Linked DNA regions of Caenorhabditis elegans. The protein of the gene in region 1 interacts with the protein of each later gene in a pairwise test. Each region holds a gene or a part of one and is shown on either strand. Other genes may lie near its edges. The genes, in order: sax-2 and Y51H4A.8.

The links.
Region 2: the proteins of sax-2 (region 1) and Y51H4A.8 interact in a two-hybrid assay, tested with the Caenorhabditis elegans proteins (one large-scale study listed by BioGRID).

The regions. Positions count from the first base shown.
Region 1 is NC_003281.10:5,100,708-5,116,963, forward strand, and holds the start of sax-2 (MOR2-PAG1_N domain-containing protein), read left to right. Parts: upstream 1-8,993; coding exon 8,994-9,076; intron 9,077-9,139; coding exon 9,140-9,478; intron 9,479-9,975; coding exon 9,976-10,143; intron 10,144-10,196; coding exon 10,197-10,298; intron 10,299-10,350; coding exon 10,351-10,591; intron 10,592-10,979; coding exon 10,980-11,078; intron 11,079-11,128; coding exon 11,129-11,286; intron 11,287-11,333; coding exon 11,334-11,434; intron 11,435-11,610; coding exon 11,611-11,690; intron 11,691-11,917; coding exon 11,918-12,144; intron 12,145-12,705; coding exon 12,706-12,931; intron 12,932-12,978; coding exon 12,979-13,988; intron 13,989-14,231; coding exon 14,232-14,850; intron 14,851-14,894; coding exon 14,895-14,988; intron 14,989-15,034; coding exon 15,035-15,375; intron 15,376-15,430; coding exon 15,431-15,685; intron 15,686-15,739; coding exon 15,740-16,066; intron 16,067-16,150; coding exon 16,151-16,256. Other genes in the region: F54D8.6 (C2H2-type domain-containing protein), read left to right, coding at 2,284-2,819, 2,869-3,014, 3,453-3,553, 3,605-3,696, 3,749-3,799, 3,845-3,898, 3,948-3,988, 4,043-4,176 and 5 more; Cuticle collagen dpy-17, read left to right, coding at 6,626-7,040, 7,093-7,736.
Region 2 is NC_003282.8:16,568,147-16,585,286, reverse strand, and holds Y51H4A.8 (DUF4136 domain-containing protein), read left to right. Parts: upstream 1-6,737; 5' UTR 6,738-6,771; coding exon 6,772-6,981; intron 6,982-7,077; exon of another isoform or gene 7,078-7,098; intron 7,099-7,284; exon of another isoform or gene 7,285-7,306; intron 7,307-7,529; exon of another isoform or gene 7,530-7,553; intron 7,554-7,776; exon of another isoform or gene 7,777-7,798; intron 7,799-7,899; exon of another isoform or gene 7,900-7,981; intron 7,982-9,514; exon of another isoform or gene 9,515-9,535; intron 9,536-9,658; exon of another isoform or gene 9,659-9,679; intron 9,680-9,788; coding exon 9,789-10,139; 3' UTR 10,140-10,193; downstream 10,194-17,140.

The DNA.
Region 1 (16,256 bases):
TATTTATTGGAAGATGAAGTTTCGTCGCGTTAGCAATGCTCTGCCAAGAGATATTATTTTTTTTAATTTTCAGGGCAAAACTTGTTTTCTTCTATACATCTGTCTGTGTACAAGATATAACCCTCAACTGTACGTCTCCTTTTCGGGAATTCAATAATGAGTACAATCCTGTAATAAAATTTTCAAAAATTAGGTCTCCCCTAATATAAAGCCTCCTCAAACTTCAATCAATCAAAACTCAGCTTTAACTGATTCATCGGGTGCATCTGTTTTTGGTCAAACCGAACTCAAAAATTAAGAAGACTCCCATTGACCTACTGAAATTTTCACGAGCCCTCTAACAGGTTCGAGGCGAAGCCGAGAGCCTACGCCCGGCAAGGGGACTCGCCTTACACCCCCTACAACTGGCGGGCCCGCAGGGCCCGCTAGTCTATTATCATCATTTGATATTATAATAGTTTTCTCCCATTTGGATGATCATCTACAAAATACGCATTGATATCTCAACAAAGGGGTTCTGAATGAATTTTTGTGTAGGCAAGAAACGCTCGCCTGCTTTTAATTCAAAAAATGGATAGTCTCAGGTATCAGGTACAAAAATTCGTCTGAAGACCTGAATGCCAGGGAAGTGTAACTTCTGGTTTTAGCAAAGTTAGCTGGTTGTACGGAATTAATTCAAATTAGTTGAGAAACAGTTGAATCGCCGAGCCAAAATGCAGAAAATAGGTGGTAGGCAGGTATGAGGAGCCTGTAGATATGCCTGCCATCCATGCCCTAAATAAACGTTTTGAAAAACTGCATTTCCGCAAAAACCGTACATCTACTTTGATCTCTCCATTTCCAATTTTCCATGTGATCATCAGTAGCTAGTCAAAAACAATTTACCAAAAGATCAACATATTCTTCAATTTCTCTATAGACTTTCAAAAATCAAACGATTATTATTATTCGTCTTATCATTTTATTTTTACCAGGGCTATGATCACCTTTTTTCTGTATCAGAATTCAAAAAATCAAACTTGAATCGGAAGTGAATGGAAATAAGTTTGCAGGGATTGAATAGTTACTACAACAAATGTTAAGCAGACTCTTACAATAATTATATTAGTCTGTAGACATTCCACCATTGAGCTGTCAAAGAAACGAAGCAGACAGAATTGAAATGTTTAATAACTAGATAAATAAACAAATAATAATCTCATGTATTACAGTTTAATTGATAGATAAAACATAATCATGCACTTTTAAACTTTGCAAATGATAGGGCTACAGTACCCATGATGTCAAACAAATTGCAATTTTTCAATTTCAAAATTGATCAACTATTTCCTTTAAAGGTTTCTGATCACAAAGAAGAAAATCACTCGTATTTTGTACCCGGTCTCGACGCGACAATTTTTTGTAAAATGCGAAAAAGTATGCGCCTTTACAGAGTAATTTCAAACTATCGTTTCGAATTTTCAGAATGCTTGACATTACAATTTAATTTTTAATTTTAATTTAAAGGCGCACACCTTTTCGAAACTAACAAAAAATTAGCGTGTCGAGACCGGATACCGTATTTTTTTTCGCAAAATTTCGTTTCTGGGTTATATGACTTCAATAACTTATAGATACAAACATCAGAAGCTTCCTAGACACAAAATACAGAAAACACATGTTCACTCTTCAAATATACATTTTTATTGTTCTTCCTGTTTCATTAAAAGTGTAAAAACCGAGATGATGATGATATTGATAGTGTGAGATGTAGTTCATAATGATGCTACTAGATAACATCAATGATCGCATTTCACAGATCTACAGCTGAATTATCACCTAATGTAAGCAACGAATATTGCGATTATTGCTCCAAAAATACGGTACCCGGTCTCGACGCGACAAATTTTTGTTTAAAAAAACAGGTGCGTCTATAAAGAGTACTGTAATTTCAAACGTTCGTTTCTGTAGAAATTCCCGTCTGGGACAACAACTTTTCGAAATCCTCGAATAAAAATGTTCAATTTTCTGTTAAAACAATTAGTAGGTAATCTGAAAAAGCCAACAAACAGAAAAGAAGAAATATTCCGAAACTCTTTCCTTGTTGCACATTTTCCAGTTTCTGTGTCTCCGAAAACTCCCATTCCGATAGGCCAGTGCAAGTGCGCTCCATGGCTCTACTGGTTTTCTTCAATGAAACAATTTTATTGATTTCAATATCGTTTCTTTCGTTTTTTTAGTGTTTAATCATATTTTATTCATTAATTATTTAAAAATAAATATTCAAATTTTATTAAATTTCAGATGGAAGAAGAAAATACACCGGAAGTCCAATTTGAACAAGATGAAAACGAGGAAAACACCCTTCAAATCGTAGACAGCGACCTTGTCATCGAGAACTCTGTCACGGAGAATGTTCCCTCAGAAAATCAAGATGTAGAGATGGAAATAGTATCCGATTCGGAAGAACCTCTAGAACCTCCTGTGCCGGTTGCAGTGAATTTTGAAGAAGCACCAGTAGAAGAAGTTCCAGGGGAACAAGAAGCAGTGCTGGTCGAAGAAGAAGAAGAAGAAGTACCTGCAGAAGCAATTGAAAAATCTCATGAACAAAGAGAATCCTTCATGGAAATGTTTAGAATAGCTCCGAGAATTCGAGATATTCTACCAGATTTGCGCGTTTTTATGAGCCATCCGGACGTTTTAGACGAAGATCGGAAAGAAGTTGAGGCTTTAGTAGAGGCAAAAATTCAAGATGAAAAGGCGAAAAAGAAAGCTGAAAAGGTATCGAAGAAAGAAAAAGAAGTTGAAAAACCACCAGTGTCATTGGAAGAAGCTGTTAAGTAGGTTTTTTTAATGCGGAAATTGAAAAAAAAAACAAATATTTTTCAGAACTGTTACCGGAATAGATTTGGCCGCAATACTTCAAAAAATTCCGAAAAATCCTCAACAAATCGCCCCTGTTACAATACCTCCGCCTGTGGTTATGCCTCCGCCTATCGTAATTCCAGGAATGCCAAATGCTCCAGCTGTTACAGGTAAAAATTGAAACTTTTTTTTAAAAAGAATCACAAAAATGCCTCAAATTGGTTCTGTGAAGCTTCAAAGATCACAAATTGTCATCTAATTTGAATTTCGCGCGAAAATGAGTTTTCTATGATACTCGACCGTGTACTCCTCTCGGACAATTAACGAATTAAACTTTTAGATTTTAGACGATTAAAAAAAATGTTTTAGATTTTTTCCATCAGCAAAACGAAAATGATCATATATCCATTTATTTATTTTGAAGCAAAAAGCCGTGCAAAATCATCAAAAACAACCTAAAATCATAAAAATTAATTGATTAATTACCCGAAAGAGGTAAACGGCTGAGTATCAATCTCAAATTCGACTATACCACATTAAAGAAGGAGTTTTTAAAATTAATATAAAAATCTTGCCGCAGAGAGAAAATTTTTTAATACTTTTTTCAGAAGTTCTGAATCTGGTTTCACTGCCGTTAAATGCCAAACCCGTGCCAATCCCAATTGCGTCTTCAGTAATAGCACCCAATTATGCAACTGCGCCACCGATTGTGAGTTTTTTTTTCTAAAAATGTTTTTTTTTCGAATTCTCAAATTTTCAGGCTCTGACAGACCCGAACGTCGCTTCAATTGGACACGGAAAAGCTGGATTTTCTACGCCTCATCCGAATGAAATTCCAATTGAACTAAGACAGTATGTTATTTTAAAAAAAAAACCTTTATTTTAAATATATCTATTTTTTCAGTTCCAAACCAGACATGATTGCTCCAATTCCAGATGAGCTAAGAAATCTTGGGTATGTCCAATTGTATTGAAATTTCTTAACAAAAATTGTTTTCAGTGCCGTTCCAGTTGTTACTTCGATTCCTACAATTCCTAATGAGTTCCTACCTCCGTAAGTGAAATTTCAATTTAAAAAAGTCTCTACAACAAACATTTTTCAGAGAACAACGAATTCTTGGATCGTTACCACTCACTTTTGTTCGTAAGTTTTCCGTGTGAAATATTGAAGAAAAAACTAATTTTTCTCCAAATTAAGGTCCTCCGATGCGGAAATCCCTGTTTCTCTCTGGTGCAAGATCAGGAAAACGATGTGACAGAATTAAAATGCAGAGAAAGAAGGATAAAAAGGAAGTAAAATTGGAAAAGAAGCTGGAAAAGAAGTCAGAGGATGTAAGATATTTTTAAAAATTTCAGAAATGTAGTGATTTTGCTTTGAATTGCACAAAATGACTACAATATTACAAAGAAAAATGTTTTTTAAAAAAGTATATGAGAAGTTTTGGTTCAAAAATGTCGAAAAATCCATTGAGTGGGGAATGTTCATTCGGAAAAAAAAATATAATGACCGATTGTGCAATTTTAGGCCTTTTGTCAAAAAAAAATTTCAGTCTCTGGAATCAGTGGAAAAACGGCCCCGTGGCGGACATAGAGGTCGAGCTGGTGCAGGCAGATCAAGCTTTGAAGCAACAGGAATGAATGCTCTTCCTCAAGGACTCAACAAGAATTCTCCGCTTGCTGTTAAACGTTATCATGCTCGTCAACTTGCCAAAGAAACTGGAATGACATTGGAAGAAGCTATGGAAGAAATTGAAGAACAATGTAATGCATTTGGAGGTGAAGATACTCCAGAAGCAATTGAACACGATACAAAACTTATGGAAATGATTAAGAAACGAGGTGATGAACATTGGAATCAACGACATAATTATACACCTGTTGATCATTCGAAAGGAATTCCTGGAGTCGATAGACCACCTGGTGGTAATAGGGATCGTGGTGAAAAGGTTCGGAGCAAGTCGCCAGTTACAGGAGTTGATAGACCACCAGGTGGAGACAGAATTGAACGAAGTAGGGATCGAGAACCGGGTGGTGGTGTTCCTGGGGTTGATCGGGCGCCAGGCAGAGGATCTCGTGGAATCGATCGCCCACCTGGAGGTGATTCTCGTGGTGTTGATCGACCACCTGGAGGTGGAGGAATTCCTGGAGTAGATCGGCCACCAGGAGGTGGAAGGCGCGGAGTTGATAGACCACCAGGATCTGGAATGCCTGGAATCGATCGGCCACCTGGAGGGGATCGAATGGGTGATAAGCAAAGAAGAGGAGCGAGAGGAGGTGTTAAGGAAAGAGAAAGAAAACGAAGAAGTAAGTTTATTCAACCTTTATTCCACGAAAATTCGAAATCCTTATGTTTTTTTTTAAATATTTTTAAATAACGCTTTATTTTTCAGGAGATGAATTCCAGCGAGGAGGTGGTGGTGGTGGCCGAGGCGGTGGCCGTGATGGTGGAAGAGATTATGGTGGTCCTCCGCAAAAATCTGGGCGACGTGATCGATATGATGATTAGTGAGTTCAGCAATGAGCAGAGATATAAAACACATTGAGAAAGTATACGAAAGCCCCTTTTTCTCAGCTATCTCGGAAAGTAACTTTACTTTCAATTGAAATTTTCGAAAATTTGCTCTAAAACTGACTCAAATAATGCCGATCGACACTTCACGACTTTGAGGCAGTTTGTCAAAAACTTCTCGAAGCCTTCAATTAAACATAAAAAAGTATTTGTGACTATTCGCGTTTCGAAACCCCAAAAAAATTTCAATTTTTCAAAATCTCGATTTCAGCGATCGATCGTATCAAGGAACAAGTGGATATGGACAAGATTATGATTCACAAACATATGGAGAACGTGGTTACGATGGACATTATCAAGGACAAGAGGATTATTATGGAAGGTAATAAAATTAAATATTTTAAAATGAAATTAATTAAATTTAATAAACGTTTCAGTCAAGAAGGATATGGAGAATATAATCAGCAACACTACGGTGAAGGATACGATCAACAAGGATATGGGCAAAATGGAGATTCATATTATGGACATGAAGGGTAAGGAAAATCACTTTTTTAATTGTTTGAATTGTATTTTTATTCAAAAATAATTACCTATTTTCAGCCAAGATGCATCGACATATTACCAAGAAGATGGCAGTCAATACTACAATCAATACTACGGTACTGCTCCTGCAGAAGGTGAAGCTTCAGCTGTAACTGGAACGGATTATCATGCAACATTCAGTGTACCACCACCACCGGCTCCCCCTCCGTCATAAATTTAAGAATTGGGAAAACTAAATATTTTTGAATCAAAAAACTTCCTTTTTCAATATTTTCTTCAATTCTTTCCCGATTTCTTTCAATTTCAATAGTTGACTTTTATTTATTTTTAATTTATAAAATTTCTTATATTCTTCTTCCTCCTTCTATTGTATGAATATTAAAAACAGGTCCTTCGACCCGAAAAATCCCCTTCTCAAATCTAGGTCATCATATCGGAGATAACGGACAATTATGCATAATATTCGAGATGATTATCATATCGGTCATATGAGGGGGCGGAGTCTCGCATACAGTAGTCCTTTGTCCTTGTGCGAGGGAGTTTATGAGTATAAAAGGGTCCCTGAGAGAGGAGAAATGGACACTTTTATCAAAACATTTTCCATCTTTGTTTATTTTGACGATATTTATTCGCTGATACGAATTTTTGCAATTTTTATCCCGGATACCGTATTTCTTGGCAATTCAGATTACGCGCAAATTCTAGAATAAACATGTTTTCCAGATCATGTCAGTGTTCGCGGGATATGCCGCGTGCACCCTCGGTGCCGTTTCGATGCTTCTCTGCGTCTCTCTTGTCCCACAAGTCTATCAGCAAGTCTCGATGCTCCGGGACGAGTTGACGACTGAAATGGAGGCATGGCGTCTCGAGTCCGATCAAATCTACATGGATATGCAGAAGTTCGGACGTGTCCGTCGTCAAGCCGGAGGATACGGTGGATATGGTGGATACGGTAGCGGACCATCTGGACCATCCGGACCATCTGGACCACACGGTGGATTCCCAGGAGGCCCACAAGGACACTTCCCAGGAAATACTGGATCATCGAACACCCCAACTCTTCCAGGAGTTATTGGAGTTCCACCATCAGTTACTGGACATCCAGGAGGAAGCCCAATCAACCCAGATGGATCCCCATCTGGTAAGTATAGAAAAAATAGTCCAAAGATCTTATATAAATTGAACATTTACAGCTGGACCAGGAGACAAGTGCAATTGCAACACCGAAAACTCATGCCCAGCTGGACCAGCCGGACCAAAGGGAACTCCAGGACATGATGGACCAGATGGAATTCCAGGAGTTCCAGGAGTTGACGGAGAAGATGCTGATGATGCCAAGGCTCAGACTCAACAATACGATGGATGCTTCACTTGCCCAGCTGGACCACAAGGACCACCAGGATCCCAAGGAAAGCCAGGAGCCCGTGGAATGCGTGGAGCCCGTGGACAAGCCGCTATGCCAGGAAGAGACGGATCCCCAGGAATGCCCGGATCTTTGGGACCAATTGGACCACCAGGAGCCGCTGGAGAAGAAGGACCAACTGGAGAGCCAGGAGCCGATGTTGAACACCAAATCGGACTTCCAGGAGCCAAGGGAACTCCAGGAGCACCAGGAGAGTCTGGAGATCAAGGAGAGCAAGGAGATCGTGGAGCAACTGGAATTGCTGGACCACCAGGAGAGCGTGGACCACAGGGAGAGAAGGGAGATGATGGACCAAATGGAGCCGCTGGAAGTCCAGGAGAGGAAGGAGAGCCAGGACAAGATGCTCAATATTGTCCATGCCCACAGAGAAACACCAACGCCGCTGTCTCTGGAAACCAAGGATACAGAAACTAATTTCACATTATTATTTGTGATTTGTGTTGTTGAAGAAAATAAATTATTTTATTCTCATAACTTTTTTCAATCGAAGGATGTTTTCAGAGAAGCATGTTATCCTAGTTCAGATAATCTCAAGAAATAGGCTTACTATAACAGAAAAAGTTAACTGAATTGCAAACATTTTCAGATAGTAGAAATATAATCAAAACACTTCCAAGCTTTGAAATAGAATACTAAAATATTAAAAAAAAAAACACCCTATTTCCCCAACGAAAATGTTTTGTTACTATTTAATTGAACGATTGTGAACCTATTTTACAAAAAAAGCATTTTGATCTACCAGTTGAACTCAACATATATTTATTTTCAAAAGAATTTCAAAAGATAGATCAAAATAGTTTATCTGAGTTTTTTCATTAATTTTTCCCATGAAAACAGATTCAATACTTGCGAGCATCCTTCTTGTCTCTCTTTCAATGATGCCCGACAAGACACACAGAAACTGTTTCTTTCTCTGCCGTCTCTTATGTATAGAGTGTCCCGAACAGCTGTTTGGAAACGATGGCCGAGTCTGAATGGCCTTGTCTTTTTCTCTTCTCGGCCAGTTTATCGAGTTTATTGGTACCCAGTTGAAATATTGTTTTAGTGATTCTTCAATATCAATATTTGCGTTCAAAAGTTAAATTAGCTCAACTCTCAATTTTCTAAAATCTCTTATGTCCTTCATCACCTCCATTTCCTATTACTTTCCAATATGTTTCTTTGTTTTCGACTCATTTTTATATATTGGATTTCGTTAAAGAAAATTAGAAAATTATCAAAAAACAAAATGTTTCACAAAAATATAGTTTTGTATTTTGATTTTTATGAAAATTGAACGAAATTTCAGAATTTTTGATAAATTTATATTCTTAGTTTCGACACAATCTAATTAAAGTCTAATTTTAAAAAAACCAATTTTTTTTTCAAGTGAGTTGAACCAGACACTTTATAAAAAAGATCAGAAATTTTACTACAATTAACTTACTGTATTTCTTGCGCACATCACTACTTAACTTGAAATTAATAAAAGGTACATTGAATCAATTTTCAAATAAAAAAGTTAGGTTTTTATGCTCGCTTTCATGAAAAATCGTTTGTAAATGTTATTTATTTTAATTATCATTGGCTAAACAAAAATTTTCAGAAACTTAAAAATTCTTGCCAATTTTTGATTTTTCTCTCTATTTCTCTCTCTCTCTCTACGTTTTCATTATTTTCCCATTTTTACAGATGAGCTCAATTGTAAAAAAAGGACGCCTGGGGCGTCGAAAAAGCGATCCGGGGACTTTGACTGTTCGATCTACTGCTGATAAGTCCGTTTTTTTCACAATTGATTTTTTTGGACGTAGAAGTCAATATGAAATTATTATTTATAGAATTGCGACATGTGAACTACCATGGGGAGGAACTAGAATGGTAACACTTGGACCACTGGAGTTAACCCAAATGAGTGGACCATTTGTTGGACAAGCTTCTCTCATGGATCTTTTCAATATATTCGAACGAAAATTGCATATTGTGACTGAAGAAGAACCACTTGAGAAGATGTTGAACAAGACATTGCAACGTGGTGGTGATCTATATTTTGATAATTTATGTCATACACTTCATGGATTATCCGAAATTTGTTTGCCGCCAATTTTGAAAGTTTTGGTTGAATGGTATGAGAAGTATGATGAGTCGTTGTGTTTATCTATGCTATCACCTATTGCTACGTAAGTTTTTTTTTGTGTAAAGTTGTTGAAGCAGAACAAAAATTTAATGAAAACAGAAATCATTTCACATGATGCATCAAAACTTATTCACCGCATGTAATTTACCATCCTTGATATTACGCAGTGGCGAAATTTTGGAATTTCACACGAACTAAAAAATTTTCAAATCAGGTCCACGAAAAAATGTGCGCGCCTTTGAAAACTACAGTAACCCATTCTTCGTATTTTTGCTACTCAAATTCAAAAAAAAGCAAAACAAAAGTGTATGGATTACTGTAGTTCTGTAAAGGTGTACCTTTTTGAGCAACCTGATTTTGGAAATACTTTTTCTCGTGGCGAAATCGGGTACCATATTTGTTTTGTAAAAAAATTGCACTATTTCGCGAAATATTACAGTTACTTGTTGGTTGAAAGTATACCTAATCGTGTCAGATTGGTTGCAAAAAAATTTTAAAAATTCAACTTATATGCTCTCGCAAATGTCTTACTTTTTTCAGGCCGGAACTTCGTCTGAAACTCCATAAAAAGTTATTGGCAGTGAATTATTTATTCTGTCTCGTACTTATTGAAATTCTTCCACAAGTTGAATTCCATCTTCCTCAATGTGATCCACTTATCAAGAAAGTTCTAGAGATTTGCTTCAAAAATGTACAGTACAGAGAACCGTAAGTTTTTAGTTTTTGATTTTAATTTTAATTTTAAAATGTAATAATTACAGATCGGCAGTTGGAATCAATAAAACAAATCATTTAGTAGTTGCTGAAACTTATGGAGAAGTCGTTGGAGTTCTTTCCAGTACATACTTCACTCATATTCATAGGTGAAATTTGATTTTCAATAAAGTTATTTTAATAATTTTAATATATTTTCAGAATTTTCATGACCCACATCACAGAGCTCAAAAAAGACGTTTCACAGACTGCTGCACAACAAATTGTAGCACTTATAATGTCGATGAAATTTCTTCGAATAAACTCGAGTCAAGTGGAAGATTTTGAGAATGGATTGAAATTTTTGGATGATTTGGGAAGTTTACTGCTGGAAGTGAAGGATAAGGATGTCAAGCATGCAGTCATGGGTCTATTGGTTGAGATCTTGTTACCGGTTGCAGCGGTAAGAACTGTTTTTTTCTTGGATTTATGTAAATATAACTTACTAGTTATAAACTATTAAGCCTACAGTATCCCGGTAGCATTCATACAGTTATTCAACTCATTTTCGTTATAAAAACGTTGAAACGAGTTTCAAATTACGCTACAGTACCACTGGTTTGAAAATTTCCTGACAAACTTTAGCAACTTTCTGGCAATATTTTTACAACTTTCTGCTTCCTACTAGCTGATCACTTATTTAGGAAGCGTTTTGTCAAGTTACTGCCAAGACGTTGCTCCAAAATAATTACGCGATATGTGCATCGTGCGTCCAAAATTATGCGAGGTTCCTAATGGACATATCGCAATTCAACTATGTGAATAGACAAAAGTAATGATTGAAATTTCAGCAAATCAAGCGAGAAACTAACATTCCTGCTTTGATTTCTCTTGTTCAAAAATTGTACACTACTACGAACGATATGATTTCAAAAAAGCAGCATAAGCTTGTAAGTTTACTTTTTTATTAAATAAAGTTTTAAAATTTCAATATTTTCAGGCAGCATTTCCACTGATCACGTGTCTTCTTTGTGTCAGCCAAAAGCATTTTTTCCTCGCAAACTGGGTACAATTCTTGAATTCGTGTTTGTCTCATCTTAAAAATAAGGATCCTCAAGTGGCAAGAGTTGCGTTGGAGAGCTTATATAGACTTTTATGGTTGGTTATAAAATGATCTTATTTCTATTTGCAATGTTTAATTACAGGGTATATATGATTAGAAACAATGCAGATGGAAATGCAGCAACACGATCTCGACTCGACTCGATTTGTGGTAGCTTGTTCCCGAAAGGAAATCGATATATTGGTTAGAAATTTGAAAAGGGAATAAATGGGAAAAATAATTGGTTAACAGCCAATCAGAAATGTTACCGATGCCCCTACACTTTTCTGATTGGTTGTTCAATTTGGGAAATTTAAATATAATTTTAAACACAATATGCTATTACGTTTGAACGAATTAGCAAACGATAATATTTTCAGTGCCTCGTGATGCTCCACTCAACATTTTCGTCAAAATCATTCATTTTATTTCGCAGCAAAAATTGGATTTTGCATTCAAGGTGAGTTTTTCTTTATTATTTCAAGAGTTTATATGACGTCCAAGACAATAGAGAATATAATCTGAAGTTGCAAATTAATGATCAAGAAATTAGGAAGCCTCTAGAAAAGTTTAAGTTTTACTTTATAGCTTTCTACAAGTTAGTCATTTTTTGCACTGAGACTGACAGTTAATTTAATAAAATTAAACTCGCCTTCTGGAGCAAGCCAAAATTGTTTCATTTTTCAGGAAATAATCTTTGATCTCCTATGTGTCAACAATCGAACACAAAGATCCTTGTATGCGGAACGAATGAACGTCGGAATTCGTGCACTGATGGTCATTGCAGACGGTCTTCAACAGAAGGATGATCCACCAGCAATGCCAAAATCAATGGGACCATCTGCAAGTGGAACTGTGCACAAGACAAAAAGAAAACAATACATCACAAGACCATTAACAAATGAAATTTCAAAGTGAGTTTTGGGAGAAAAAACATTTAAAAAAGAAGGGAATGGAAAAGAAGACAATTGGGAAGGGGAAGGGAAATCATTTTCCGTCAATAAAAATGTTCCCAATTTTTGTTTTATTATCAAATTTGCATATCGCTTCTGCTCTTGTTTTCTTTCCTGATTTTTAGACAAAGAACCCAATGCCGTAGTACTAGTATTAAAATTTTAAAACTCAAACACAGTTTAAAAAGATCGCAAGAAAATAGTAATAATACTTTTGTCACCTCTTATCACGAGTGGTCAGAATTGTTTGCGATGGGCGGGCCTAACACATGACAGCTAGAAGTTACGGTATCAATGAATCATAGGTTAACGACAAAGTGAATATGATCCTTTTTCTTGTAATAAAACAACATTATTATCAGTTTTTGAGCAAATAATACCTGGTTAATAACTATATTTTGTTTTTCACTTATCTTGGCACCTCTCTCACCTTCCTATCACTTTCTTATCACATTCTAACACATCATTAAACGAAACTGTTCACCAAATAATTGAATTCGTAAAATGTTCAACATTTTTCAGATCGATCGGAATTGATCAATTCTATCCACAGTGCCGAAAGGCTTTCGATAGTATTCTCCGCCTTCTGGACACACAAATCGGCAAACCACTCATGATGTCTTCGATTCAAAATCGTGGAAAAGAGCCAGATGAGTTGATTAGTGGAGATGCAAAGCCAAAGCTTGATCTGTTCCGAACTTGTATTGCTGCGATTCCAAGACTTCTTCCTGATCCGATGAGTCATGTGGTAAGCCTCGATAGTGAAGAAAAAGTTTCCAAAACTCAGTATTTCAGGATTTGATCGATCTCCTTACTCGCCTTACAGTTCATCTCGATGAAGAGCTTCGTAACATGTCTGGAATCACACTTCAAACAATTATCGGAGAATTTCCTGATTGGAGAGAACAAGTGTTTATCAGTCACATCTCGCTCATTCAATCTCATATTTATGATTTCTTTCCACAAATTTTGGATGATTCCCTTCGTTTGATGCTCCAATCTTTGACAACATGGAAAACTGCAATCACTGCCGAAAAGAAGCGAGAAGCCGAGAAAATTATTCCGACAAGTCCGCCAAGTTGTCACTCAAGTCATGTGACAAGTAATAGTACCCACAGTACTCACATCTCGGTCAGCTTCCCCAATACTGTCACATCAGCATCTTCGATTCTTTCCAATTCATCATCACCACATCAACCAACACCTTCACTGTGTTCTTTACCAGAATCTTCATCTCTTCATTCAATTCCAACTGCAATGACATCACTTTCAACAACAACTACTCCAACTCATTCACAAGGTGCTCCATCAACATCTACTCCAATCGGAGGTAGTGGTAACAGTACCTTGTCGGTTTTGCATCAAATGGAAGGATTGGCCATTGTGTATCTATGTCAGACTCGATCAAATCCACGTGCTATCGCTGTCAAGATTTTGAAAGAAATTCAACTGATCTATGATCTTCTTGGAATCGAGATGATTGATACACCGGTCATTGATGTGCTCGACCAGGCAACTCCATATGTTGTGAAAAAGTATATCGAACACGTGCCTATCAAAGAACGAATGTCATGGAATATGGACTTTTCGTCGGTTTGTGATAAGATCTCGACGATCGAAACGGACAATACTTTGGTGAACAGTGATCGTGGAAACGAGTACTTCCAATGGGATCCGTGGGGTTGTGCACTTTCGGGTTATGCAGAGATAAAGCACTTGCTCACAAAATGCCCAAGTGCAGTTGCTGCAGCGTGGCCAATACTTTTCTCGAGATTAAATGCAGTTTCAGGATATGTTGATCCGAAGTGAGCTTAATAAACAATATTTCATGCTTAAAAATATCCATGCCTGCCTGCCTACCTGACTATTTTTTGAAATGTACAGAGTTACGGATTTTTCATTTTCAATTTCTTGAAAGTGAATAGAAATTAAAAAAGAAGTTCACTTGTACCTTGGCAGGCGTAAGTCGCTTTGGAGGAATGTAGGCAGCCATTTTATACCTACCCATAAATGTCTATAAATATCAAACTAATATTCTATTGTTACAGTAACCCACAAAACGAAAGTCGTTCATCTCTTCTCCGTGGGTCAAAAAGTAAAGGAACTTCATCGATTCTCGGCGAGCAACTTGGACAAGAAGCATGTCTTGCTCTCTGGCAAAAATATCTCATTATGTGCTGCGCTTTGGCTCCGGCTCCATACAATCTCTCACAGCGAAGCTTCAGTCCAACCAACTCAATGGATGGTCCAGTTGATGTGTTTCGATCTGTGTCTGCGTCACTCAGATCTTCAAGAACTCCAGTTCCAAACTCATTATCTCAATTGATTTCAAAAGTTTGTATGATTTTGAGATGGGAAAACTTGACTGACATTCGTGATAGTGTTGTACTTGGAGTTGGTTCTATCAATCCACTCGCCTTTGATATGATGCTTGAAGAGTTAAAATCAAATGGGATCCTTCGAGAAGCTACAGAAAAGAAGGCAGAGACAAATTTACGAAGAAGAAAGCGAAAGGATTTATTGAGACTTCAAATTATTCGAGTAATTGAAGTTGCCATATTTCGAGGACTTTTATTAGTTCATTCGGCTGGAAGTTCAGATTTCATTCTACATCCACATGTTGTTGATTTTATTGATTCGATGAGGGTCAATTTGGAGAGCGATCATGTAAGTGGAGACCTTATTGGGATTCATGATCAAAAACATTTCAGGATCGGGACATCACAGTTGTTACAAAACTCCGTCTTCACTTTGCCAAACTGATTCATCTGATCATTGACTCAACTCCACATCTGTCTAGACACAGTATGCATCTCAATTTGACATAGTTTCCCTTACTTTTGTGTTTCAGCTCTCTTTTCGGATGAACGTCGTCATAAGCTCTTCTATCTCTTCATTAACTGGTGCTCACGTGCAATTGCCGCTGATCGGAAGTTCCGTGACAAAGAAGTCGGTTCATATGTTGAACAGAAATCTGTTCTTGCAATGTCTCGTATTCTATGTTGTGGACCTATTTTTGAACCAGCGAAATCAATTGGCGAAGATGGATATTTATATGGATGGCTTGAAAAGTTGATCATCTCGACGAATCCAACGATGCAGGCAGAAGTTGAAGAAATGTTGGCATGGATGTTGGAGTTGAACGAGTCTGGAGTTTTATTGGATTGGTTGATGATGCAGTGTTATACTCAGGTATCGTCATATCTTTTTTTTCTATTTTATTTTAAAAAAAAAATTAAATTTTCAGCCACCTACTGTCGCATGCCGATGCTTCAGAGCTCTAGTTCGAGTGTTCTCACGTCGTGACTTCCCCTGTGAATTTGTCTCCCTATTCGTTCTGTGCCAATCTATGCTCGCAGTCAACTCAGTCACCGATTGTGCTCTTCACATGATCGAGATTCTAAGGAAGCAGTTTTTGGAAACATCAAATATTCATGCAACGTCTCCAGCTCAACAAGTCACTCCCATTGTGCAAATGAGAAATCAAGCCGATGTTCTGACGGTGGGATTTAATTTTAATTTGAAAGTTTTGAAAAATAAACTTCTAAAATTTCAGAATATCTACAACGGTTGCCATATCCTACCAATCGAGCAACACGATGTTTGTACCCGACTCGCCAACTCGTATCCTCATTTGACAGTCACAATATTCAGTGAAGTCTCATACCGTCTTGAGACTGAAAGCTGCTCAAACAAGTCACAACTCTTGGCACTTCTTCAGCCATGGATTTCCAATTTAGAACTTGTTGATCAGAATGTTGTCGAAGAAGCTGCTGAAGGACCAAGAGGATGGGGATCAGAAGAAGCGACTCAATTGGTGTTGAACAATTTACTCTACTTGACAGTCACATTATCCAATGATCATGAGAAGGAACTTGCTGAAGTATGGAAAACATTGGCAATCTCTTTCCCTGCAAATCTCCCTGCAATTCTCAATTTCTTCTACACTACAACACTTCTTTCACAGGAGTCACTTCTCCCATTCACCAAAAGAATTTGTGTAATGATGTCACAAGTTGTCGGCACTCGAATCTCATCGATTCTGCTGGAATGGCTCAGCACGGTGCATGATA
Region 2 (17,140 bases), on another chromosome or scaffold:
AACACAATTACAAAAAAAAATTACTATTTCAGTGACATTATATGAAATTTCTATATTTTTGAAAAAGTGATTCAGTTCAGAAATTGAAAACTATACATATTAACATTAGCCGGCATTATTGGTGTTAAAATACAATTGAATTTATAAAATATCGCGTGTCAACACTTTTAAAAATCACTACAATTAGAAAACAACATAACACAGACGAAAAAAAAAGAAAATTTCAAACAAATTTTAGCAAAACAATATTGAAAATTTGAAACAGCAAACATTTTTTGAAATTTTTTTTTGATTTCCATACCTTTGTTAGATTTTGAATTCATTTTTATGATTTTTTATCGGGATAATTGGTAATGTTTTGAAAATGTTTAAAATTATACATTGTTAATGTTCGGTTGAAGTTTTTACATAGAAACAATATAAATTGGATGATTTTCTTAGTTTTCAGTTTTGAAATAAATAAAGTTTGATTTTTTGAATGAAAATATACTTTTAAAAACTTTTTATAAAGGAGAAAAACGTTTTTGAATTAAAAAAACTGAGAAAAAACGATTAAAAATTTTTTAATTTGCAAAAAAATTTGACTGTTTCGTCAAGTTGTTATAATTTTGTATCAATGGCTTCATATTACTACCTCTCTTTTTTCGAAACGTTTATTCCTTGAATACGGTTTTTATTGATTAAATATGAAAAAAAAAGAAATAATGTATATCCCCGAGTGAAAAACAAAAAGGGGACAAATAGGGGTTAAATGCAAAACCAGAGACAATAAAATATGTGGATAATAAAAAATTCACCAGATTTTAGAGAAGGTAGCGCAGAATACGGATATCAAACTGGAACAAGGGAATGCAAATATTTATTTTCCTCCTTTTAGGTTATAATTTAATTAATTTTGAATTTATTTTTAAGTTGAAAAGTAAAAGATTCGAAATTACAAAAATTACTGTTTCAGTGACATTATATAAAATTTTCATATTTTTGAAAAAGTAATCTCCACCTTTTTCCATTAGTTAAAAATACTACATTTTAAAATTAGCCAGTTTTATTGTTTGGTGTATAATTGAATATAATTGAATTTATCAAATATCATGGTTTAACACTTTTTTATTAATCTTAAAAATGCGCGAGCTGCTAAAAATAAACATTTCTGAGCATGCTGAAAAAAAGATCGAAAAACGAATTAATTTTATATAATCTGTTAAACGAAATATTTGAAACAGTTTTTTTATTGATAATGGGTATAAATTCTTTGTGGTTTATTCCGGAAATAATCTTTCAGATTGTTATATCTCTAAAAAAGGATTTAAAAGAGATAACAAAATAGATTTAGTGGTAGGTAGACACATCTCTAGGCTCTTCTCTTTCAGCATACTTTTTTCAGTCATTTCTCCGCTCAAAATGTGCGAACAACACAGCCATTTGCGGTAACGAAAACACCCCAACCAGCTCTCCGAAACCGGGCTGCGATGTCCGAGCGGTTAAGGAGTTGGACTTGAAATCCAATGGGCATTGCCCGCGTAGGTTCAAATCCTGCTCGCAGCGAATACTTTTTGGAAAATATTCCAAATTAAATCTACAGGTTTTTAAATAAATTTTGTATCTCATTGAACGTGCACCTAGTATTTTGCTTTTGAGTGATTTATCAGTAAATTTGAGCTTTAATACGAAACCGTGCAAAAACATTTTGATTATTTGCAATTGCTTGTATCAGCATAGTGAAACAGTGAGAATTTTTGTGTGTTAACACAATGTAGCAAGGAACATGGTAAGGCTGATATAATAATGAATTTGTACTATAGAATACAAAATTTGGCAAAAAGAATTTTTACATATAAATAAAGTTTGTTTTATAATATTCTTATTAGCTCACTATTATCTTAGTTATTATTGTTGTTGTTTAGAATCTACTTTAAGACAATTAATTAACAATGATTTTGTCAATAAAATTTTCATTCGGCCACAGTCCTCGGCTAAGACGTGGCTTATATTATATTCCAGTAGGAGCACCACCAGGCAGTGTACCTGAATCCCAGATCCGCAGTGAATTGTATGTTTACTGTTTCAGCATGTTTATATTATAATCTTTATCTTTTGTTGATAATATATTTGTAATATGATTGGAAACAAAACCAGGAAATCAATATCTGGCATAAGTAGCCAAATTTGAGCAAAATCTTTTAAGTTGGAATAGTGTCCGCACCGAACTTTTACCTATTGCTTTTGATTGATTTATCAGTTATTTTGAATTTTATAGCGTGTCAAAAACATTTTTATAGCGTGTCAAAAACATTCAGATTATGTTCAATTGCCTATATCAGCATAGTGAAACAGTCAGAAATTTTTTGTGTTAACACAATGTAGCGAGAATGGTTGTAAGGCAAATATAATCATGCATTTGTACTATGGAACACAAATTTCTACAAAATAAATTTTCAATAAAACGTAAAAATTTTATTTGTAAAAAAGTATGTTTTATAATATTCTTATTAGCTCACGTTAAGATCTCAAAATGTTTAGAAAATTTTTTAAATTTTCATTAATTATTTGTGTTTCGAAAAGCCTCTATCACCACCCAGGTTTTGTCACTTTTTCATTTGAAAAATTCTTTGAATTTAGTGGTCTACTGCTGTTTCAAATAGTTACATTCAACTGTTATAGGGATTCGATCATACTACACAAAGTCTTCTCAAAAAGTGGCAAAAAAGTTAAATATTGTTTTTTAAAAGGTTCACTATGATGTTTGGTCATTTTGGGACCAAAGGCGTCACAATTGAATTCTGAATGTTTCAACATTTTTTTATTATACTCTTTATCTTTTGTTGGTAATATACAGAAGACGTCTTGTTACATAAAAATAATGATTTGGAAGTCGACCAAAAAAAATTTTCCTACGATTTTTGCATACCTTAATTTTGTATTGATACTTTCTGGGGGTCGAAAAATTTTGGATCTCCCCAAAACGCATATTTTTTCAAAAATTTGGCATTTTACCAAAACTTTGACTGGAAGTTCTGAAAAAATTGAATTTTTTCAGAGTTTTTTAAAATGATTTCTTCACTGGCGCTACTGCAACTTTAATCACTTTTTTTTTCATTTTCCGACCAAAAAAAAATTGGAATGCAACTTTTATTTGGTTAATTGTGTGTTTTTCGTGTTATTAACTTTTTAAAAATTAATTAATTACGTTGAAAATTGGTGATTAAATTTGTCGAGAAATTCACTGTTTGACCGCGTGTGTATAAAAATTTTCTTCCGATTTCGTCAATGATCTTTTTGCATACATTAGCAACATATAAAAATTAATTTGAAAGCTTCCTTTAAAAATAAAATTGATAATAGGCTCCGCCTTTTTCTGGGCTTTCTTTGTTTTTGAAGTTTTCCAATCGAATGTTCTGTGAAAAAATCTTTTCAAACAAATTTTTGTAACGGTTGTTTGGCAATATTTCGATCTTTTGATTTTTGGATGTACCCTTTATCTTTTGTTGATAATATTTTGTATCATGAGTAGAAACAAAACCAGGAAATTAATATCTGGCATAATTATTAGGTCGTTCAATAAGTTTTTTCGTTTTTTTCTAGTTTTGGTTTTTTCTTGGATATTATTTTGCGGTTGTACAGAAGACTGTTAGTAATGACAAGCCCAACAATATCAGCCATATCGGTCAACTTCCAGATTATTTAAAACTCAGAACTATGATGACGAAAAAAAAAAATTTTTTTTCGAATTTTTTCATTTCTTTGTGAAATCAAATACTTTGTATGCGTAGAGGTATAAGACAGTTAGTTAAACAAAACTGAAAAATTTCAGACTCAGGCATAGCTTATTGGTAGCGCTACATCTGTTTAAAGTGCCTAAAACGCTTGCAAAATTGACTTTTTTATGTTTAAGCAGTGCTAACTTTTAAACCATGAGAGATATACAAAAGTAATGTATTACAACATTAATGTACACATCATCAGCTACATTTTATCAGTATGTTACATTGTTGTCCCTCCTCACGTTTCTGAGTTACAGTTGATAGAAGTGAGCTTGGTCCAATTTTCAAAAAACCCTAATTTTCACGTTTTCGCCTGTAACTCCGAAATCAGGCGTCTAATTAAAAACTTCAAATTAAAAATTAAGTGATTTTAAATTATAATCGGGTTCACAGTTGACCGTTTTGTCATATCTCATATGTGGGCAAAGATATGAATTGTCAAAGAAAAGTTGCGGAAATTTTAGAAAATTTTCAAAAAAAAACATCGAAAAAAAATCCAACAGTTTTTTTTACAAGATAACCTCTAACTGTTTTTTGATTATGATAGCCTAATTAGTAATCAAAATATTAAATGTGTTTTTAAACGCTCATGTTCTTTTCGGAAAGAGTAAAACAGTTTTTTGCAATATTTTTCTATATTTTTTCGATCATGCATTTTTTGTTTGTTGACCGTTCATATCTTTGCCCACATATGATATGACAAAACGGTCAACTGTGTACCTGATTATAATTTAAAATCACTTTATTTTTAATTTGAAGTTTTTTAATCAGGCACCTGATTTCGGAGTTACAGGCGAAAACGTGAAAAATTAGGGTTTTTTGAAAATTGGACCAAGCTCATTTCTATCGACTGTAACTCAGAAACGTGAGGAGGGACAACAATGTAACATACTGATAAAATGTAGCTGATGATGTGTACATTAATGCTGTGATACATTACTTTTGTATATCTCTCATGGTTTAAAAGTTAGCACCGCTCAAACATGAAAAAGTCAATTTTGCAAGCGTTTTCGACACTTCCAACAGATGTAGCGCTACCAATAAGCTATGCCTGGTTCTGAAATGTTTTAGTTTTGTTTAACTAACTGTCTTATACCTCTACGCATACAAAGTTTTTGATTTCACAAAGAAATGAAAAAATTCGAAAAAAAATTTTTTTTTCGTCATCATAGTTCTGAGTTTTAAATAATCTGGAAGTTGACCGATATGGCTGATATTGTTGGGCTTGTTATTACTAACAGTCTTCTATACAACCGCAAAATATTATCCAAGAAAAAACCAAAACTAGAAAAAAACGAAAAAACTTATTGAACGACCTAATAATCAAATTTGGGCAAAATCTCTTAAGTTGGAGTAGTGACCGCACCGAACATTAACCTATTGCGTTAAATCGATTTATCAGTTATTTGAAATTGTTTTAAATAAAAAATATTTTTAAATCGTGTCCATTCAGATTATTTGCAGTTGCCTATATCAGCATAGTGACACAGTCAGAAATTTTTTGTGTTAACACAATGTAGCGAGAATGGTTGTAAGGCAAATATAATCATGATTTGTACTATGGAATACAACAATTCTACAGAAAAATTGTACTTATAAAAATTATGTTTCACAATATTTATATTGCGTCACTGATATTTTAGTTATTATTTCAGAACTTTTTCATGAGAAAGATCTTAAAATTTCAATGATATGATTCAAAACAATTAATTTAAAACATTAAATTCAAAAAAAGTAAAACTATTCAAAACTTTTTTTGAAAATGTTGTTTATTTTATTTCAAAAATGGCAACCATTCTGTTAGGCACTTATTTGGAAATCGTTGAAAAAAAAATGTTTTCCTCCGAATTTTATGTTTCAAACGGTAATATTCAATTATTTTAGGGATAGTTTTCTTTAAAAGTGGCAAAAACTTAATAATTGGCGCTTTTCGGAAAAAAAAAATTTTCTAAAATTTTTATTGTTTCAACATGCTTTTATTATACTCTTTGTAAATTGGGTTTTATTCATACGCTCAAATTGTATTTTGGTAATTAAAAAAATTGAAACGTAACCAGGAAATTAATATCTGCCAGAAGTAGTCAAATGTAAGCAAAACCTCTTAAGTTGGAATAGTGACTATGGTGGTTTTTACAGAAAACTGTCTTGTTATAGGAAAAAAATCTAATAGTAACACAATGGTTTAAAAGAAAGCATCTACATTTTTTTAAAGGTAAAACTTTTTGAAAAAAAATTGGATTTTTAAAAATTCACTGTAAAAAGTGACTATTACTCAAATTTTGCCACTCATAATTTTATAAGTCGATCAAAAAAAAACTTCCTACAATTTTTTTTGCCAAAACTTTGACTGGAAGTTGTAAAAAATTTGAGTTTTTTGGAGTGTTTTTTTAAATGATATCCCCACTGGCGCTACTCCTCCATCAATGACTTTAAAAATTGATAAGAAATCGAAAAATCTGAATTTCGAAATTTACCGTTTCACCGCGTGCGTATAAAACTTTTCATCACATTTTGATCTATTTCTGATAGTGATCCGCTTTCAAACGTGTAAAACAATTTAAAATTAAACCAGAAGCTTCCGATAAAAGTATAATCAATAATAGGCTCCACCTATTTTTGGATTTTCATTGTATTTAAAGTTTTCAAATCGAATCCAGGAACAAAATCTTCAAAATTTGCAACAAAAAAAAAATTCAGTTTCAGCCTTCAAACAAATTTTAGTAACGGCTGTTTGACAATTTTTCGATCTTTGGGTTTCAAATTTTTACGAGTTCCCTTTTACCCCCGCTTAGTATGCTTTACCTATTCTTACTGTTGGCACACCCACCCACAAGAAAAAGTGTTAACAATCAGTAATAAAATGATGCCATAACTATGACAAATATAAACATTTTTGGCAAATCGAAACAAACATAAGCTATTGTGGGGCAAAGGTTAAGGAAACGGTATAAAAAAGGATTGAGGTAAGGTTTAAACTTCACTTTTAACTTTTGTGATTTGAACCTTCAAAATGCTTAAAATTCTACTGCTCCTCTGCTTTTTCATCTCCACAGCCGGAGCCTGTGCTCCGGGTACCGGAACGCTGGGCTCCAAGGGAACATTCAGCTATGAAATGAACCCTCCTGCTCTATACACCTATGATTCTCTAGCAGAATTTGAAAACGGACAGTTTGATCAAGCCTATGCTCAGCGAGTTGTGGTGTCGGATGTGCAGAGTGCGGTGAGTTAAATGCAATTTTAAATAAAAATCCCAATACAGAAAAAATTTCTACTGTTTCACAAAATTTTTATGAACAGCTACAGTTTTCTTTGGAGTTCGTATAATTGCATTTATTAAAAGTCCAATTATTAAATGTCCAACTATGGTGGTGGATAATTTTGCCAAATTTATAAAAGAATGTGAAATGGCAACACATCGCATAATGTTTAACGGTTGCATTATTATTTGAAAAAAATTTGAAATTCTCAGAAGCTTTATAAATTCTAGTCTAGTTTTGATGAAAAGCCATATATTTTCTTAATTTCCATCAAGCCAGCCTATTCAATAAAAAGCGATTCATAAAAAGTTTAATGAAATACTTTTGAAACATTAAAAATTTTATTGAAATTTTCTTTTTTTTTTCGAAAAGTGCCAATTACTACGTTTTTGCCACTTTTAAAGAAAAGTATAGCATATTCCAATCTCTACAATAATTGAAAAAAAACCCATAAGTGGGCCATAAAATTCGGAGGCAATTTTTTTTTTGACGAAAACAATAATAATAACTTTTTAGGCACCGTAGAGTTGAAACACTCCCTAGTAAGATAACAGTGAGCTAATAAGAATATTATAAAACATACTTTTTTACAAATAAAATTTTTACGTTTTATTGAAAATTTATTTTGTAGAAACATGTTATATTCTATAGTACAAATGCATGATTATATTACAATCTTTCTATTTTCATTGTGTTAACACAAAAAATTCTCACTGTTTCACTATACTGATATAGCCAATTGCAAATAATCGAAATAATTCTGTTCTCTCCTAGAAACTGATAAATCACTCAAAAGCGACATACTAGGTGCGCGGTCAATGAGTTAAAAAATTTATTTAAAAGCCTGTAGATTTAATTCGGAATATTTTCCAAAAAGTATTCGCTGCGAGCAGGATTTGAACCTACGCGGGCAATGCCCATTGGATTTCAAGTCCAACTCCTTAACCGCTCGGACATCGCAGCCCGGTTTCGGAGAGCTGGTTGGGGTGTTTTCGTTACCGCAAATGGCTGTGTTGTTCGCACATTTTGAGCGGAGAAATGACTGAAAAAAGTATGCTGAAAGAGAAGAGCCTAGAGATGTGTCTACCTACCACTAAATCTATTTTGTTATCACTTTTGAATTATTTTTTTTAGAGATAACAATCTGAAACATTAATTTTTGAAATAAACCACAAAGTATCAGGTTGTCCCATAAGTTTTTGTACTTTTTTTCAAATATTTTTCCAAAACTTCTAGAAAGTTTTAAAATTTTTTCATCGTAGGTCGTGTCAAGGTCGGGTCGTCCCCTTCCAGAAAAGATTCATTTCATCCATTTCTACTTTGCCACGATGACAATCATCAAACTTGAACGTCGAGACGTTAGATTGCTTCTTCTTTATGAATTTCGTCTTGGTCATTCAGCAATGAAAGCGGAACGAAACATATGCGGTGCGATGGGTGAGGGAGCACTCTCTTATAATACAGCAAAGAGTTGGTTTCAAAAGTTCAAGAACGGCGACTTCAGTCTCGAAGAAATAGAACGTTCTGGGCGACCGGTAGAGTTAAATGAAGAAGACCTAGTGAAGCTGGTGGAGGAAGAGCCTCGTCTTAGTCTTCGTGAAATGGAAGAGAAGCTTGAGTGTTGTCATAGCACAATTGCACGTCACTTGGGTCGCCTTGGTTTTACTTCAAAACTTGGAATTTGGGTGCCTCATGAACTTTCGGCATCACAGAAGCTCACTCGGGTCAACGTTTGTACTCAACTTCTAACTTTTCGTCGAAAGTTCGATTGGCTGAACAATCTGGTTACTGGAGATGAGAAGTGGGTGCTCTATGTTAACCATTCCAGAAAACGTCAATGGCTTCCGATCGGTGAGAAAGGAATACCGACGCCAAAGCCTGATCTTCACCCAAAAAAGATAATGATCTGTGTCTGGTGGGGTGTTCAAGGACCCGTGCACTGGGAATTGTTGCCAACTAATAAAACTATCACTGCTGATTACTATTGTGCCCAATTGGACCGAGTTGCAGAAAAGACCAACGGAAAATATGAAAAACTATATTTTCTTCACGATAATGCTATGCCTCATGTCGCCAAGAAGACTTTCCAAAAGCTGCAAGATCTTGGTTGGACTGTTTTACCGCATCCACCATATTCTCCAGATCTTGCACCAACCGACTACCATTTGTTCTTGTCTCTCAGTGACTACATGCGCGACAAGCAATTCGACGACGAAGAGCATCTCAAAACTGAACTCTCCACTTTCTTCTCATCGCGTTCGCCGGATTTCTTCTCCCGTGGCATCATGATGTTACCTAGTAAATGGCAACAAGTGGTGGACACTAATGGTGAATACTTGTGTGAATAGTACTACTTGTCGCTTGAGAGAAATAAATTTTTTTCAAAAAAAAAAATAGTACAAAAACTTATGGGACAACCTGATATTTATACCCATTATCAATAAAAAAAAACTGTTTCAAATATTTCATTTTTCAGGTTGTATAAAATTAATTCGTTTGTCGATCTTTTGAATTCTTTTTTAAAGATAAATAAGTCTGAAACATTAAGTTTCAAAATAAGCCACAAAGTATTTATACCCATTATCAAAAAAAAACTGTTTCAAATATTTCATTTACCAGATTATATTTCGGAGAGCTTGCTAAAATTTGTCCATACGAACCAAAAAAAATTATCTGCTCAAAACTTGTATAATAATGGAACCAAGTAGAGCGCTAAAACACTAAAAACACTATACAATACCAAAAAAGTTTAAAAATTCAAAAAATTCAGATCAACGACGTATTGCAAGCCAACAGTATCCCCCTAAACGACATAAACCCACCAGTCATCACATTCTCGCCTCCAAACGTCACACTTACTACAGTAACCGAGTGCACCGCCGACACCGCGGGTTACGGTGTTCTACAACAATCCACAGTCTACTATAAGTGTGCAGCGAAGGCTGGAACCGATGGAAAATACGCGAAAAGTCCGTTTGTTGTCCCTTTGACCGTTCAAGTGACCGCGATTTCTGCAATTTATGAGAGCCAGTGGAAGATGTTGGCTTCTCAGATGGCGGACAAGTTGACGACGAAGAGAGGAGCACAGTTTTATACAGATCCTATTGTTACTGTTGGTTAATTGGTTTTTTTTCTTTTTGTGGATTTGAAATAAAATTATATTAACAGCGAGAATTTTTTACATGTATTGAAGTTTGAACATGGGATTTGATCTGGCCGTACAGAATAGAATACGGAAAAAGTTGAAAATACTTTAACGTTATTTGAAACAGGGAAACATAAAGTTTTTATGGGCGTTGAAAGCGAAAAATTAAAAGTTGATCTGATTTTGAGAATTCAAATTTTTGACTGTTTCATTAACATCACTTAAGATGTGCATTATTTTGATTCAGTATTGAATGATATGCCAGATCACTGCAACTTTTTTCGAACGAGGGCCGAGAAAAAATGCGAAAAATCGGTGTTTGCACACAATACACCGCATTTTACGACATTTTGTACTTGCTTTGTTTTCTTGTGTTTTTCACCGATTTTTCCCGTGTTTTCTTATTAAAACTGATAAATAAATATTTTTGTTAATGCTAAAATAATTTCCAGATGAAAAAAATTGTGAATTCAGTCGGCAAGTAGCGGTAAAAGTGGTCAATGTAATATGATGGATTACGGGAATAAAAAACCCAAACTTTTTCCCAAACATGATACATATGATGTTTAGATGCTGAAAGTACCTGATTATCATAACGAGACCGCTGAAAAAGTTTTGAGATTTTCAAAATTCAACTTTTTTTGTGAAAATCTCTACACCAAAAAAGTTGAATTTTGAAAACCTCAAAACTTTTTCAGCGGTCTCGTTATGAAAATCAGGTACTTTTAGCATCTAAACAGCATATGTATCATGTTTGGGAAAAAGTTTGGGTTTTTTATTCCCGTAATCCATCATATTACATTGACCATTTTTACCGCTACTTGCCGACTGAATTCACAATTTTTTCACTTGAAAATTGGTTTAGCATCTGCAAAAAATATTTATTTATTAGTTTTGATAAGAAAAAACGGGAAAAATCGGTGAAAAACGAAAGAAAACACGCAGAAAACAAAGCAAGATAAATGGCCGCTGAAATTTGTCAGGGACTCGGCCATAGCCTAGAAACCTTTTTGCCTCGTCCCTCGTTCGAAAAAAGTTGCAGTGCAGATTTCATATTTATAAAAATAAGAGCGGATGTGTTTGGCAATGGTCTGTAATGTAATCTGTAATGTTAGACAATATGGTTTAACAGGAATTTATTTTTGAGAAAAAATAGGTATTGCGTCTTATATGCACGCAAGTTTTCAAAAGATTATTTTGTTTATTTTTTTGTCTGGGAAGTTATAACTTTACAGTAAGATAATACATGAATTCCAACCACATTTTTGCAAATATGCTTAGTTCCGGAAACACGACATTTATTTTTTAAAAATATAAGGAAAATTCAATCACTAATTTTTTATCTTCTCAAGATTTAGCCAAAATAAACTTTACTGTTGCATTATCAACATTTTAAGAGTTTCACGATGTTAGTTCATTTTTCTCATCATTGGAAAGGTAAAAACATTAGTTTTCAGCCAAAAAAAACAAAAAATATATTCAGGCCTTGGCTGAACGTGGCTTAAAAATTTAGATTTTAATCTAAAAAAAACATCTGGATTCCGTCCCAGAATATATAATTAAAGGTTAAATCGATTTAATTGTTTATGAAAATAAGAGCTGCTATGTTCTGTAATGGAGCGAAATATGGTTTTACAGGGATTTATTAGCTGAAAATATATAAGGAGCACGTCATTAATTAATAAATGCCAACCCCATTTTTGCAAATATGCATAGTTCCGGAAACATGTCATTTATTTTTTTCAAAAATATAAGGAAAATTCAATCACTAATGTTTTATCTTCTCAAGATTTAGCCAGTGATTCGCAGTTGATCATTTATAAAAATTTTTTTACTGTTTCATTATCAACATTTTAAGAATTTCACGATCAGTTCCATTGCTTCCGTTCCATTGCTAGTTTTGATTTTTAATTAAAAAAATTTCGATCACGCTTTGCAAAGAGAAAAACATTACTTTTTAGAAACAAGAACATCAAAAAAATTCAGACCCTGGTCTAAAAATTTAGATTGTAACCTAAAAAAACATCTGGATTCCGTCCCAGAATATAGAATTAGAGGTTAAATCGATTTAATATTTATGAAAATTAGAGCGGCTATGTTCTATAATGGAACAAAATATGGTTTTACAGGTATTTATTTACTTGCTGAAAATAATAAGGAGCAAGGTATTAATTTTTCTTTAAATATCTGAAAAATCTGATCCCATTTTCACTAATGTTTCACCACCCCGATAAAGAATTTGACATTAATTCGCAATTGATGTATTCCTTATACTTAGCGAACCCTGAAGTTTTGAAAACATTCTTAATTTATTTCCAAAATATTGCAGAGTTTACAGTTTTTGGATGAAGCCGTTCGTAGAGAGGTTAACTTTAAAATCAGTAATTTTTCACAATTCACAAATAATTTTTTCTGATATATGTCGGATTTTTTTTTGAAAAATCGGAAAAAAAAATTAAAATAACGAGTTGAGGACAGATTACACAAGTTTATAAAACTTTTATATAGGAGAGGACCTATCACACAAAAATATACTACAATTATTAAATCGAGATAGTGAAACAGTCAAATATTTCCACATTAGGAACAGTTTATTTTTATCAAACAACAAATTTATCAGTATAGTTTTAAAGTAGATTATTGTATCGAGCACTAAAAATAAAAACACTTGTAATGTATTGAAACAGGGGATAACAAAAGGTTTTTCCGGCTGTGAAAATTAATATTTTCCACTGTTTCATTATCACGATTTTAAAAATTTCGTGATGTTAGTTTGTTTATACGTTTATCTTTTATACAAATTTTCCCGGCGAAAAAGAAAACATTCGTTTCTAGCCGAAAAAAAATCAAAAATGCTTCAAATCCTGGTTTGACCGGGCTCAAAATCCACGTTTCAATCTGAAAATAGCTCAACATTGAACGGACGAGAAAAGTATCATGAAAATCATATTAGAAAAAAAAACGAATTGACAAATAGATTGAATTCTTGAGACAGTAAACAAATTTTTTAGTTTTTACGCACTTTTAGACTTTTTGGGTTTATTTACCATTTTCTAATTCTAGGTTTTTCTCAATTAATTTTCACTTGAATTTTGTGCTTCCACTAATTCATTTTTCATAAATAGAGAACCCAAAGGATTTCAAATAATATTAATTTAACATCAATAATTTTTAATTTTTTCCATATTGTTTTTTCCAATTGGCATTAGCAGAATTGAATACAGAAAAAATTGAAAATACTTGAAAGTTATTCGAAACAGAGAAAAATATAAAATTTTAGCACAACTTCTACTTGAAATGCTTTTTCACTGTTTTCCGGCATTGTTATATCAATTTTTGAAAAGTTTTTTTAATAGAAAAGGATCATGACGAATTAAATATAATTGAAAGTTGATCTGATTTCGAAAATTCAAATTTTTGTCAGTTTCATTGACACCACTTAAGATGTTCATTATTTCATTAATTCATTAATAAAAACTTCGACAGGAATTCGCAATTGATGAACTCAACATATTTTGGAACCCTGAAATTAAAAAAAATGTTAAAAATGTATTTCCAAAATATTGCAGAGTTTCCAGTTTTCAGATGAAGCCGTTAGTAGATAGTAGGGCTGTGCAATCAGACGAATTCGGACGAATTCGGACGTCCGGTGTCCGGACGCGTGTGCGTCCGGCGTCCGGTTTTTCCGGACCCGGACGCACACGCGTCCGAAAAAACCGGACGTTGGGTGCGTCCGGCGTCCGGTTTTTCGGACGTCCGAAAAAACCGGACGTCCGGTTGCACAGCCCTAGTAGATAGGTTAACTTTAAAATCAGTAATGTTTCACAAATGACAAATTTTTTTTCTGATTTTGTGGGTTTTTCATGAAAAATTGGGAAAAAAATAAAATCGGGAGTAAAAGACTTATTACACAAGTTTATAAAACAATTATTAAATCATGATAATGAAACAGTCAGACATTTCCACATTAGGAACAGTTTATTTTTTATCAAACAACAAATGTATCAGTATAGTTTTAAAGTAGACGCACTAAAAATAAAAACACTTTGTAATGTATTGAAACAAGCGATAACAAAAAGTTGTACCGGTTGTGAAAATTAATATTTTTCACTGTTTCATTATCACCTTTTTAAGAAATTCGTGATGTTAGTTTAGTGAAACCTATGTAAACGTTTTTCTTTTGTAAACATTTTCCCGACGAAAGGGAAAACATTCGTTTCTAGCCGAAAAAAAACATCAAAAACGGTTCAGGCCCTGGCTTGACCCGGCTCGAAATCCAGATTTTAGTCTGAAAAGAGCTCAACATAGATTGGATGAGAAAAGTATCTTGAAAATCATATTAGAATAAAAAAAAACAAAATGACAAATATATTGAATTCTTAAGACAGGAAAACATTTTTTTGTTTGTTTTTACGCACTTTTAGATTTTTTGGGTTTATCTAACATTTTTTAACTATAGATTTTTCTCAATTAATTTTCACTTGAATTTTGTGCTCCCACTAATTAATTTTTCATACATGGAGAACCCAAAGGATTTCAAATAATATTAATTTAACAGCAATAATTTTTATTTGTTTCCATATTGTTTTTTCCAATTGGCTTTGGCAGAATTGAATACAGAAAATATTGAAAATACTTCAAAGTTATTCGAAACAGAGAAAAATATAAAGTTTTAGCACAATTTCTACTTGAAATAATCAAATAATTCGCTGTTTCACGGCATTGTTATTTCAATTTTTGTAACAATTTTTAATATAAAAAGAACCTAATGAAAAATTGAAAATTGATCTGATTTGAAAAATTGAAACTTTTGACTATTTCATTAACACCACTTAATAGCTCTTAAAAAAAAGGAAACAAATTTTCAATAATTAACTGAAATTTCAAATTTTTGCCTGTTTCAAGAGCTAATGTAATTTTACCATTTTGTAGAAGGCTTTATGTGTCCGTTAGGAAAAACATAATAAAAAAACCAAAAAAAGATGTTCAATTTTATTTTTTTTGAAAAAAAAAATCTCCTGTTTCACAATTCTTACAAACTTTACTTATACTTTACCTTTTAATATTATCCATTTTATAAAACGAATTTATAAAACGATTATAAAATTTAATAAAACGTGATGTCCATTTTCAATCTTTAGGCTTAGAAAATGGTTATTTCCAAAGCCTAAAAATACAAAAACTCCACACGTTTTTATTTAAAAATTTATTTCAAAAAATGAGGGGAAATAATACACAAGTACCATACAAGCTGTAATTAAGTTCAATCAAATCCACGTATGTATCAGAAAAAAAATTTTAAGAGCATATTAATAAAAATGCAGATGAACCCATAAACGCTACAAGTTTTAAAGAATTTTATAAAATTTTTGAAAAAATCGACTGTTTCATAATGTTTTCAAATAATGCTTTTGAACGCCAAGTAATGTTCATTATGAAGCTTCACAAAAGATTTCGACAAAAAAGAGCCAAAGTTTGCTCTGGAATTCAACTTTTCTGAAATTATGACCGTTTAATCCATTTTTGGTAACTTTTCTCGCGTAAATTAAAGCAAAAAATCGTCGGATACTGAAAAATAGAATATAAATTAAATAATATCATTTTGAGTGTTAAAAAATTGTATGTTTCACAATGTTTTCAAATAATTATGACGAACTTTAAGTAAAGTTGCGACTTACGTTCTGTCGGAAATATTGATTTAAAATCTGGAAACTAGAGAAAAAGAGACAGAGTTTTATATCTCACTCACTTATTTTATTGGGACAAAATTATGGAGAAAACTCCAAAGAAGGCCCTAAAACACAAAAAAAAACCTAAAATCCTTAAACCAAAACAACAAAAGAATGTAGAGCCTCACAGCACCGGCCTCATTACAACTCGTTTCAAAAAAATTTGTATGAGGAAAAGAAAAAATTAATAGGATACTGTTCTTTCCTTTAAAAAATAAAAGTTGTTTTGATTTTTTTTCTACTGTTTCATTTACACCATCTAATTGTAAGAAAATTGTTGATTCATCCATGTTTGATTACGCCTTGGGTCGAAACAAAACGTCAAAATGTTCCAGCTCAGGCAAACGTGGCATGAAAATTTAGATTAAAGTTTTTTTAGAAAGAAGAAAAGTCTGGAAAAACCGGTTCATATTCTATAAACCAACAATTTTTTATTGTATTTAAAGTAGATTGTCAGCTAAAACTTTAAGTGATGTTTCACCGTTGTTTCTAAAAACTTAACATTCTCGACGTAACTAATAAAACATTTGAATTTCCAAATTTATAATTTTTCCGTAGTTTGTGACTTTTCTAATATTCAATTTTAAGTTTTTGGTATAAAATAAAAGTAAATGACTTTAAAGCGCCACTGAAATTACAATAAATGTTTTTTTCCGATTTTAACAGCATTAAACTATGTTTCGAGAATATCTACTGATTATGAAAAGTAATTTAATGTAAATGCAGGTAAAATTCGGCAAAAACTAGTAAGTAAAGCATAGACATTTTTTAAAAATTTATTTTTGGAAAAAATCGATCGTTTCATATTGTTTAAAAATTGTACTAAAAATTTGAGTAATGTTTCGATTGGTTTTTTTGTGTATTCCCAACTGTTATAAATTTCAATTTAATACATGTATGTTTCAGAATGTTTTTTTAAAACTCGCTATTGAGTTTCTAGTATTATTTCTTTGCTGGCATGTGGGTTTCATCACATTTATTAAGATTCTTTCATTGATTGTTATGCAACAGTTAGTCAACCTACTGGTATTTGCAGATTATCAAAAAATTAGTTAGGCGGTGGCGACCAGTTTTTTCGGTTTTCAAGAACTGAACTCATATAGATAAATAAGAAATTCTTTAAAAGATTCAAATAATAATGACATGAAACAGAGAAAAACTGTTTCACTTTCAAACCCTGGGAAATTTGTATTTTACTGTTTCACATAATCTTGAAAGATGTTGAACTTTTTCCATATTCAATTCCTT